Nothobranchius furzeri: one gene and its partner. The protein of the gene in region 2 purifies or fractionates together with the protein of the main gene of each other region. This does not show direct contact. Links are inferred from orthologs where the notes say so. Each region holds a gene or a part of one and is shown on either strand. Other genes may lie near its edges.

Region 1 (6,041 bases), on a different chromosome or scaffold from region 2:
GAAAAACCACTTCACTACCAGACAAAATGGGGTTTGTGCAGAAGGTTTTGGTATTGTAAAAGGGATTTTTCTTTCGGAGTCAACTTCTGGGAAGAAGAAAAAAAAGAGTGGATGAGTTTGATTAAAAAAAAGTAGCTTTGTTGTGATCTGAAAGGTTCAAAAAGATGTTTTTCTAGCTCAACATTCACCATGCAGTGCAAAGAGACAGAGGGTAAATCATAACTGGGTTTTCCTGATGCTTTCATGGCGGTAGCAACGCTCCGAAAGTGAGACAATTGAGGAACCTGAACATGCAGCATCATTCTAATGAATGTCTCAATAAGACGCAGGGTTATCTCAAGATGTTCTGATCTTGATAACATTTTGCAACAGTAGGTTGCATCGCTGGATTATTTTTCATTTATTTTTTGAATTTTCTGTAACCCCAAATTATTAAAATTACATTAGACAAACAGAAAAATACACTGTCATATGACAATTTATTATCTAGTTGTGTGCTAATGTTTTGTGTCAGTGTGTGTGTATGCATTTGTGCATGTGCCTCATGTATGTTCATAGCATGCGAAGGCTGGTTGGTAATGCACACGCAGAGAGGGAAGGCAGGGAAAGGAGGATGTTGGCTGGCGGAAGCTCTGCTTGATGCTGATAAAAGGAGCTCTTGGTTCTGAGAAAGGGAACTGCTAACTGCTGTGGTTGCTGCCAGAAGCTCATTGTACAGCTTCACAACCCCTCATCCTCTCCACCAGCCACAGTTATACTGTCTGAAATCATCTCAAACTCATATATATGTTTGAAAAATGACGTGACATCTGGGAACCAACTTCAGGGCGGCTTCCTCCTCGGTTTGGGGATTTTGAAATAGCTGTGATATTGTGCAACATTTCATGATTTTACAGTTCTGTTACAAATGTGTACAAACTAAGTTTGGATCTTCTAATTCCTCTCTACAAGCCAAGAGATCTCTTTCCATGATTATTTTGGAACTCAAGAGTAACAGAAGGTAACTGTAAGGCCACACAATGATGTAATTTGTGGATTGAGATAGAGGGAAATCCCCATCAGACTGCTTTTCCAAAAGTTTCCCAGAAGTGGGAAGTAAGATAATTGGAGGTGGTTAAATGTGGGAGGATCCTGTAAAAAAAGATGCTGATGAGAACGAGAAACATAAAACGGGTTGTAAATGGAGAGATTGCTCGTATGATGTTTTTCAATGCAGCAACCGCTGTGTGACACAGAGCTTCAGCTAATGAGTGGAGGAACCTTTAATTTTAAAGACAAAAGTTTTAGTTAGATATTGTTCTAATGATGCTTGAAAGGGTTCCTATGGACATCAAAAAGAAGGATTAGGTTCTAATTTTCTGGTTTAACAAAAGCAAGGAAATAAGATCATGATGTTAGAAAAACATATTTAGCTTTTTACGTTACAGAAATCAAGTTTGTGAAAACTTGATGAAAGAAAAAAGTTCAGTCTGAAATGCTAAACTTATAACTTTGTTGCAAAGCTACAGAATTGCATTTAATTTTTTAAACACTATCCTCCATTTACAAAAAGCAACAAAGTCAACAATGTTAAAGGTGAAACAATTTTAGTAAGCTTGTTAAACGGTGCTTATTGAGTGACAGTAAAATAAAATGCAGATTTGGATTTACGTTTATCATTTTGTGTCACATCATTGCAAAGTAAATGTTATGAAAGATTTTAAGACTTTAAAGTGACTTTCTTTTATTTTCCGTTATGTGACTTTTCAGCTTTTCGATTTATGGAGAAGAGGACAGCTATGGTTGCACCCTTTTCTGTAAAACCACATCCTTTTTTATATTGTTCATCAAAACATTAAACACGTTGCTCTTTAGTCTGCATTAGATGCATTGATGTACTCGAAGTTGCTACTAAATTGGGTACTATTATTTTGAATTAAAATGTTTTTATTTTTGATTGATAGTTTGATTGTAATAATCCAACACTGTATTCACAAATGCAGATTTTTATTTATGATTATTACAAAATGTACTAACTGGAATAATAACATAAGTGCATTTACAAAGTCCCTGAAACTGGTCAAGAATTAGTCAGTCATTTCTTTTGTCCACAGTTTGAAATATTTAATCTAAAATATTCAAATGTTCAATTTAAACACAAAGGCTATTCAGATTTGTTTTATGTTTTTATAACATTTATTTTTGTGCTTATTTTTCCCCAAATTTTTTTAACATTGAAGTTTATAATTTTATAAATTTTTGTTGTTCAAACTCCGTTCAATCTGTGCAGTTTTCAGGTAAAAAAAAAATTCACACATGATGAAGACTGTTTTGTCTATAAAGTTGTTAATAAAGTTTGTTTAAAAAAAGTCAACAGTGACGTAATCCTTGCTCTTACGCACGACGTAAGATGCTGGAATTGATTGTAGGCTAGTGTTAGCCGTGTAGCTGGTTTGCCAACAAGAAAGAAAATGGACTCGCCTATCCTGGTAATATCTAATTTATTTTTTCATGACGGCATAATGTTAGTGAAGCGTTTAACCTCGTAGTGTAAACATTTTTTTAAATTGTCTTCATAATTTAGGCGAAATGCTGCTTATTTAGCATCCTCCCGAGTTAACTTGACAGAGAGCTAACTACAGTGTTAGCTAACTAGTTAGCGTCGAGGAAGTATGTGTCCGTTTGTTGCTGATGTGGAAGTGTCATGTCCTCCACCTGACATGAACAAGAATACCGTCATGACAACATTTTTACAACCGTTTTTGATACATGTCTTAAGACTAAACGATCCTATTATGGCCTAATCACGGCCATTTTTCTTAAACTATCCTTCTTACTACAAACCTTAATTTCTAGTCCTTTATGTTTGTTTAAACACAACGCACTGTACTGCTGTCTTCACAGGAACCCTCTTTGTATACGGTCAAAGCTGTTCTGATTCTGGACAATGACGGAGACAGGCTTTATGCCAAGGTATGACTTTAATCCTGATTCATCTTTTTTACTTTAAATATTTTCTTCAAACACGCAAAGTCTGATTTAATGTCAATATTACAGCTTTTCACTTGGATTAGATCCCCCCAAAAGCAATAAGTTAATTATTCAACACACCTGATACATTTTCATAAATTTTTCATGACCTATTTAATAATAATAGATTTGAGCTGTACACAAACAGTTTTTAGATGTATTTGAAGGTGGTGATTGCAAAGCACTAAAAAAAAACACAGGAGTCTTTTGTGTAATTAGATAGAGAAATTTAATTAGACAAATTACAGGCGTTATTCCTTGGTCTGTTGGTCTGTTTAAAATTTAAGGTGTTCCTGATTTATATGGTTAACTATTTTAATTTTAATTTAATGTATTCATTTTTAAAATGTATCTTATTTACTTTTTATTGCTAAAAATGGTCAAAGCTGATGGCTCCTACCCCCACACCTTAAAGTTTTGTTTAAAAACAAGTTTATTTTTACTGACTCAGTATAATTCACATTATTCAATCCTTGTAATTTTATATCATAATTTTAAATATTGTTAATCATAGAAGCAAAGTTTTAAATGTAAAACTATGTTACTAGGTTTTAAATATGTTTGCTTCCGTAGTAGAAACCGTTTGGCTAACCCCGGCTTTCCACGGGAGCCGTCAGCAGCACGTTACTGCAGCAGCACGTCATAGCTGCTGATAGGAACCGCTGTGGTCAACAGAACCTTTTCCACCGGAGCCGCCGGCAGCCGTCAGCAGCGCGAGTCGGCCGCGTCTCAGGAGCAGCATGTCGCGGCCTTTACGCGCCGGTTCTATTTTCTACGCGCGACGCCTCTGAAACGGGTCAAGTTCGACATTTTTGGGGAAGGAAAGACAGGAAATCGAACGCGGAAATGGGGAGAAGCTCTCGAGATTTTCAGAATAAAGAACGTACTGCCTTCCGGTTGCTTTACTTTTAAAAACAGTTACTAACTGTGCGTCCCCGTGAGAAGTTATCACACAGCTAGTGGTCTCCTTTGTTTTTCAGGTCCGTATTGGCGATTATAAAACGGACAGAACATAAAACACAAACCATGTTGTAGTTTTCTCCTGCTTGTTGTTGTGTTTACTGACGAAGTCACTCGTGTGACTTCGTGCTCGGTCGGTGACAGCTGCTCCCCTGCTGCTTCGCGTCTCGTGGGAAGGGCCAAGCAGCAGCTTACGCGAGCAAGACGTGCTGCTGCAGTAACGTGCTGCTGACGGCTCCCGTGGAAACCCGGGGTTAGTGTCACAGAATCGATAGGGAAGTCAGACCTTTTAGAAACTTAATGTTTCCTATTTTAATGAAGAATATTTTACGTACCACATTATTTATATACTTTAATGTAAAATAATAGATTTATTTGAATTGTTTTAAAATGTACTTTTCTTCTTGGTGTGTCTGCAGTATTATGACGACACATATCCGACGGTGAAGGAGCAAAAGGCGTTTGAGAAGAACATATTCAACAAAACACACAGAACAGACAGTAAGCTAAGCATATTAAAGGTAATTGGTTTGCTTCAGTACATGACTAAAATGTGATGGTATTATTTGTTTGTTTGTAGGTGAGATTGCATTACTGGAAGGCCTAACTGTTGTCTACAAGAGCAATATAGATCTCTTCTTTTATGTCATCGGAAGTTCACATGAAAATGAGGTAAAACTGAAAGAACTTTCATGAAAAGTCAGCCTTTTCTTAATTATAGCAGATAAAACAGTCACATTTTAACTGCTAATATTTTCACATAATTACTATTTGTTGAAATTTGTTCTTTTTCAATAGCTTATGCTCATGGCTGTTCTAAACTGCCTATTTGATTCCCTCAGTCAGATGTTGAGGTATGTCTTGGTAGCAGTTTAGCACAAAATGTCAAATGTTTATAAACCATTAATCTCTCAGATTGGGATTGAGTTATTTCTCTTTAATTTTACAGAAAAAATGTTGAGAGGAGAGCTCTGTTGGAGAATATGGAGGGACTCTTCTTGGCTGTGGATGAAATAGTGGATGGGGGGTGAGTTTGAACCACCAATGATCTTTAACTAAAAACTTTTTCTTTATACTTACTGTGGTGTTTTGGGTTACTTACAGCGTGGTCCTGGAGAGCGACCCGCAGCAGGTTGTGCATCGCGTGGCTCTTCGAGTGAGTATTTCTCATCACAAATGTTCAACACGGTGTGAAAGTGTTGATGTGTGTGTGTGCGCACGCTGTAAACCTGTTGTAATACTTGTTCTTGTAGGGTGATGATGTACCACTGACAGAGCAGACAGTCACCCAGGTAAGAAAAAACCTCTACACTGATTCTGTCTTTATAATAAAGTTTAAAAGATCCATTAGTTTATTGATTGTTAAGTCTTTACCTCAGAGTGTAAAAGCTGTTATTGCATCATTCTCCTGTTTTTACTTTCTCACTCGCCTTCAGGTTGTCAAATAGTGTGTGTGAGTGTGTGATAACTAATTATTTGGTGGATAGCCAGTAGTGGTCCTTGTCTTTTCATTTTCACTCAGGCCCATCTCTCTCTCCCGGAGTGTGTGTGAGAGAGAGCGAGTGTGAGCTCCTCTTGATTAATGTTGTCATTTAAGAGGTCTGAAACTGCCCATCGCCATTTCTCCTATGGCCATGATTAATATCTGTGTCCAGTCTCTGTTTTATGGTTATGATTTGGCTTTCACTCAATCAATTAGAATGATTAATTAGACCTAGACTATTTATCTTCAATTATATCACTATGGTCATTTTTAAAAGCATTTTAGCAACTATTTGTAACTTTTTTGATGCTTACCTTATAACTTCATGTTCCTTTTTTTTTTTTAAACGTTGAGCATGTCGAACATCTTCTAATTTATTTCACACTATTATAGAAATGTACAGACTTATTTAAAGCAAAACAAAGATGTAGGATGACTCTAAACTTCTGCACAATCTTTTATTCTCATTAGGATTTATCTCATGCGGCAGCCATGATTTTATCATAAACAATTAAACCTTTTCTGAGCTGGAATTTTTCTTTTTCACAGGTGCTTCAATCTGCCAAAGAACAGATCAAATGGTCACTTC
Region 2 (5,870 bases):
ACCAAGGTACTGTTACTACAGCATTCATAAATCTAAACAAGACGGAACGTATTAGTGCTTCCTGTAAATTACTCCAAAATGGAACATACCACTGAAAAATTACTCATTTTAAAATATCGTCACCTGCATAGTCAGTATGACGGGAAGCTAAAATGTTTTCACTTATACCTTAACTACTAAAACTCTTTACATCTATTTAAATTATCTGTTTAACAAGATTAAATCGATGAGCTATGACATTAACCTTCAGCTCAACGTACATTTCCGATCATACGCCCTCTGGCGGCCAAAGGGCTGAACTGAATCCACGCTAGACTTACAGGGATTTTACGTTTAATAAATTAATGTGTGAACAACTCAAATAAATAAAATAAAAGTAACCAGTAAGACAATATATTTTTACTGTATTGTGTCTAAATAAACTTTTAATTTAATTACTTGTAATCTTTCATTTGATTTGATTGATGGACATGTACTGTCTATATATCTGTTTTATTTATGTCAACTGGATGAAAGCACGAGAACTCAATCCTTCAGTTTCTGGCTTTTGAGAATATGGATTTTTTTCCGCCCTCTAGTGGACACAAGTTGTTAAAGCTCATAAATCTGAACAAGACATAACTTATTAGTGCTTCCTGTAGATATTTCAAAATAAAACATACTGTGGCGGTTATTGGCAGTAACATTGAAACTAACAGTCTTTACGTTATTGTGTCACTAATTGCACAATTTCAATTGAATTTATGTAACTGTTAAACACAATGGTTGTGTGGAGTCAAAGTGCTAAACCCAGCTAGTGACAGTGCAACTAACTCATTTAATTTCCTTCTTGCCACAAAAAAATAAATACAATTTTATAGATATGTGTGTGTGTGTGTGTGTGTGTGTGTGTGTGTGTGTGTGTGTGTGTGTGTGTGTGTGTGTGTGTGTGTGTGTGTGTGTGTGTGTGTGTGTGTGTGTGTAGACAACAGATTTGTCAAAGTCAGCTGTTTGATTACCTCACCAGACTTTTTAACACAAGATAGCAGGAAATGTGTATTTGCTGTTTATAAAATTAATAACGACAGCACATAATTCCATTCAGTCAGACCCTGCATTGTGCACACGGCCCACTGGTCAAGAAGAGGCTGCTCTAATGTCATTAGCTGCACCTGTTCCTGCAACAACTAAATGTCTGCTAAAAGGTCAAAGAACTAATGACGCAAAGCAGTCTGGCCATTTGAACACGATGTAAACTGAGATTGCTCTGTGGTTAAATGTGTTAAACAAAATAATCAGTCAGTGTTAAAGGCTTGTAATCTTGATACCACTTCAACACCTCATGCATAGGTTTGGGTACCATTTCATAAAACTCAGAGGGTTAAAAAAACTCTGATTTAAAATATTTTCTATCTTGTTATTTTCTTCCTTTTTGTTTTTAATTCATTCTGCAAAAATCAGCCAGAGCTACTTTTTTATTGTAGTTTTGTGTATATACTGGACTTCTAAGTTTGGTCAACAAAGAAATGTTTTGGTAACTGTCGACATATTGGCAAACCTATTCAACCCGCACCCTTTGAGGTGTTTCATTGAAAATTTGGAGTCGGTTTCATTCATTCAATTTTCTGTGCACCCACGTTGTCACTCAGCTTAGTTTCCACCGGAGGGCGCTGCACGCCACTTTATTCAGTTGGGTTCCTTTCTGGCAGAAGTGTTTAAATGTTTAATTATAGGCTACAGAAGAAACATCGCAAAACAAACAAACAAACAAAAAAAATTCTGAACTGGATTTTTTTTTACCACGAGGAGGAAATCGATGTAATATGTAAAGTATAAATCTTTACTAATGTTAACTCTTCTAGCAGTACTATATTTATTAATTTTTTAGATATTTCGGCTTTTTTATGTTTTTATGGCAAGTATCCTTGATCAACTGCTGTGATCACATTTCATGCTCAGAATTTGTGTTAAAAATGAAATTTGATATACATAGAAATTTTAAATCCGTTTTAAATACAGCCCATAGTTTTAGTGTCATTTGTTTGCATTTAACAGCAAAACAATCACCAATCATATACATCTAGACACGTTGAAACTGACTTTTCTCTCACTGAAAGGGTGCATTAATACTCAATTTCTCTACTTTTATACTTGTGTTTTTATTGTGTGCTTTTGCATTATAAAAAATCGTGTTTGATTAAAGTCTGAGCAAGTGAATAAGTTACAGGTTTTCGACAACATTTTAAGTAAAAAAAAATTCGAATTATTTTAAAAAGAAAATATGCATGTCTGTAAAATGTGGGATTTTGTCCTTTTTTTCGCGCGTTTGAGCCTTCCGGCGCACCGTAGCAGTGATGTGGCTCAGTGAGCAGTCTTCCACGTTACTAGGAAGTACCCGAGAGCCGACGGGGTAGCCCTAACACCAGGAGCTCTTCTAGTTCTTTTACTCATGCTAATATTTGAAGTTGGGAATTGAAGGCGACCGTTTGGGATAAAAGCCGTGTTTTAGGTAAGTCCTGGAGCATATTATTTTCTAACGTGAGTGGATTTATCCAGTTTTTGCTACCAGCGTTAGCAACTATCAAACGTCCTCCATTTCATTGCAAACCTGGATGAAAGCTAAAGCTACTGTTGGCTAACGGTGGCTGTTTAGCTTCCCATTTTATTTCATTATCAGCCGTGTAGACGACAAAACTAGTTTTTATTATTATTTTTTTTTACAATTCTGTCATGTGCCGCCCATCTACGTTTAGACATTCAACGCAAAGGCGATGACATTTGTGCTTAGCTACGTACTAGCTTATTTCGCTATAGCTGTAACAGCTGCTTAATTATCGTTATTTGTTACAAAACTACTGTCAAAATTAAGTGTTTAAATCATGTGGTAAGAGGCATATGATCATAAAAAATAGCATCTACCTGTGTAACTACAGCGATGACAGGTGCCCTGTAACAAACTTTAAATTTCTCATCTTTTTACAGCTGTAGGTTTTGTCATTGCCAGTTTGATCACTACAGCAAAATGTTTAAACTCTCTCATCGACTGTTTAGCAGAAATTTAAAACTTAAAGGCAACAGTCAATGTGTGAAAATCAAGGTTTGTGAATGAAGTCTTGATCAAGATGAAAACATAAATTGCACCACCTCAAGTTGTATATTTCTAATATAAACCTCTCAGTTAGATAGATTTAGCATTGAACCAGCAACCCTCCAAATAAAGCAGCCTGGCCAATTGCTACACCAATTTTAATGAAGGCTATTGATTTAATTCAATGTGTTAGTCTTTTTTGTTCATTAGGTTTCTTGCAGAAACAATGAAAAAAGTTAACTGAGGAGTTTTATACTTTTTTAAAGGTGCATTATATAGAAATTAAGTGTAGTAAAATTTGGTTACTGAAACCACTTAAAACAACTCTGGAGCTTTTTGCCGGCCGTCGTCAAATTATAATTGTCGGCGCTGCAGTATTAGCTCGCAGGAGACACAGCAACCCCACACTCACTGATGGTAAACAGTAGGGATGGACAATGTATTGATATCGGTATCGGCCGATGTTAGTCATTTTTAACATATCGTATCGGTCCGATTAAAAAAAAGAAAAAACGGGCCAATATTATCAACCAATATTTTTTCCATCTTGTCTCCATTTGTTTGCCTGTTTCAGAGGGTGAGGGGGGTGATGTGTGATTGTTTAGTCATGTGAACTGTGAATGAAATCATCTCGGAAGTGTAAATGTGTGTGTTGTGTGTTCATAATAACCTAAATTCAGCTTTAATAATTTTCATTCTATACAAAATCTGCTGATTTTAGAAGCATTGATGTCAGTGTGTCGGTATCTGCAAATATTGGTTTTTGGCCAGAACAGTGATCTTGATATTGGTATTGGCCCAAAAATGTCATATCGGTGCATTACTAGTAAACAGTAGTAACGTCCCTCCTTCCTTTGTTTTGAAAGGAGGAAAACTGACAATTCCTGCAGCCAGCTGGATATGAAACATGTTTCAGTATAACCTTCCGTCCAAAATCACTGAAACTTTAAACTCTTTTGGGATTTTCTCACTGCAAAATTCTCACTATATTCTTACATACTGCACCTTTAACTTCAAAGTGATTGCTTCTCTTATTGATTTGTTTAAATGTGACGAATGTGATGTGTTTTTGTTTCCTCACGTTGTTTCCAGCCTCTGTGTAGATGTCTTTATACTTATTTCCAACATCTTTTGTCATTCAGCATTTGTTTTATCAGCCATTTTTTAACATTTATTTTCCATATTTGCAGGTATTACACTGAAGGGAACTTTACTGGGATTCTTCTAAATCCACCCCGTCCAACAGGCAGCAAAAATGACGGCTGCAGAAAACGTTTGTTACACACTGATCAATGTTCAGTCGGACTCTGAGCCTCCTTCTGAAGTCAGCTTAAAAACAGATCTGGGTAAAATTTCTTCTTGAGATTTTACAAAACGATTTCCTTGTTAACTGTAGTAAAGATGTAAACTTTTGTAATAATTTCTGATTGTGTATAAAGTAATAATTTAACTGGGATCAAAGATTGGATCTATTCAAAACATTTTAAAACTCGTCTTCATGTAAAATGTTAGCTGAAGGCAGGTGTCGTCAGGTAGAGATTTGAACAAATGAAATGTTTTGACATAATTCTAATGTCTTCCAGAAAAGGGAGAGATCAAAGCAAAGACCGAAGCCCTGAAGAAGGTCATAATCATGATCTTGAACGGTGAGAAGTTGCCTGGACTGCTCATGACTATAATTCGCTTCGTGCTGCCACTTCAAGACCACACCATCAAGAAGCTTCTCCTTGTTTTCTGGGAGATTGTTCCTAAGACGACTCCAGATGGCAAGCTGCTTCAGGAGATGATTCTTGTCTGTGATGCTTACAGGAAGGTAAGCTGGGGAATTGTTTTTATTTTCCACATCATTTTCAGCTGGAATAATAGCTGAACAGCTAAAATGATACGTTTGTTCTCAGTACTCTTATTAAAACAAGATTGCAATAATCGTTTCTTTTTTTATTTTAGGACCTTCAGCATCCCAATGAGTTCATCCGCGGCTCCACTCTGCGTTTCCTGTGCAAGCTGAAGGAGTCTGAGCTACTTGAGCCTCTCATGCCAGCGATCCGGGCCTGCCTGGAGCACCGTCACAGCTACGTGCGCAGAAATGCAGTCCTGGCCATCTACACCATCTACAGGTACCGATATTTTCCTGTCTTGTAATCTTCTGCCAGTGCAGATCAATAATCAGCTTTTTTATTTTAGGAACTTTGAGCATCTCATCCCAGACGCTCCAGAATTGATTCATGATTTCCTCGTGAATGAGAAGGACGCCAGCTGTAAGAGAAACGCCTTCATGATGCTGATTCATGCAGATCAGGTTGGTGGACCACTGAGCTTTAGGGGTGGGAGTTTTTAGGCCTGTCGTGATTTGGTTCAATCAGGACTCAGAGGGTTGTAACGCAGTTATGAAACTATTATTACTGAATCTAGATTTTTATTCAGAAACGTTTACATCTGCTTCACGGTGCATTTAAAAATAGATTCTCCTCCCTTAGTCCTTATAACATCCGTCTAACGAATTGTTAGCTCAACTGTGTAACCCCCCCCACAGGATCGCGCTCTGGATTACCTCAGCACATGCATTGACCAGGTTCACACTTTTGGTGACATCTTGCAGCTCGTCATCGTTGAGCTGATTTACAAGGTGAGTGGGCATTTTACTAGACTAAGTCAGGCCTTTAGGGCAAAGTAGCAAACAGATTTAACATTTGAGTTCTTGTGCTCTTTGGCTAGGTTTGCCACGCTAACCCCTCGGAGCGTGCTCGATTTATTCGTTGCATCTATAACCTGCTTCAGTCCTCAAGTCCAGCTGTTAAATATG

What was found. The genes of interacting proteins can lie anywhere in the genome.
Region 1: the proteins of copb1 (region 2) and copz1 fractionate together in Homo sapiens (co-fractionation; 8 studies listed by BioGRID and IntAct, with this or other methods). This does not show direct contact. The link is inferred for Nothobranchius furzeri from reciprocal best matches to the Homo sapiens genes COPB1 and COPZ1.

The regions. Positions count from the first base shown.
Region 1 is NC_091755.1:25,754,084-25,760,124, reverse strand, and holds the start of copz1 (coatomer subunit zeta-1), read left to right. Parts: upstream 1-2,337; 5' UTR 2,338-2,450; coding exon 2,451-2,468; intron 2,469-2,883; coding exon 2,884-2,952; intron 2,953-4,388; coding exon 4,389-4,470; intron 4,471-4,549; coding exon 4,550-4,641; intron 4,642-4,767; coding exon 4,768-4,823; intron 4,824-4,918; coding exon 4,919-4,996; intron 4,997-5,073; coding exon 5,074-5,125; intron 5,126-5,222; coding exon 5,223-5,261; intron 5,262-6,001; coding exon 6,002-6,041. UniProt on the Homo sapiens protein: The coatomer is a cytosolic protein complex that binds to dilysine motifs and reversibly associates with Golgi non-clathrin-coated vesicles, which further mediate biosynthetic protein transport from the ER, via the Golgi up to the trans Golgi network.
Region 2 is NC_091749.1:61,890,715-61,896,584, reverse strand, and holds the start of copb1 (coatomer subunit beta), read left to right. Parts: upstream 1-2,331; 5' UTR 2,332-2,488; intron 2,489-4,257; 5' UTR 4,258-4,322; coding exon 4,323-4,413; intron 4,414-4,650; coding exon 4,651-4,880; intron 4,881-5,014; coding exon 5,015-5,184; intron 5,185-5,251; coding exon 5,252-5,366; intron 5,367-5,600; coding exon 5,601-5,693; intron 5,694-5,782; coding exon 5,783-5,870. UniProt on the Homo sapiens protein: The coatomer is a cytosolic protein complex that binds to dilysine motifs and reversibly associates with Golgi non-clathrin-coated vesicles, which further mediate biosynthetic protein transport from the ER, via the Golgi up to the trans Golgi network.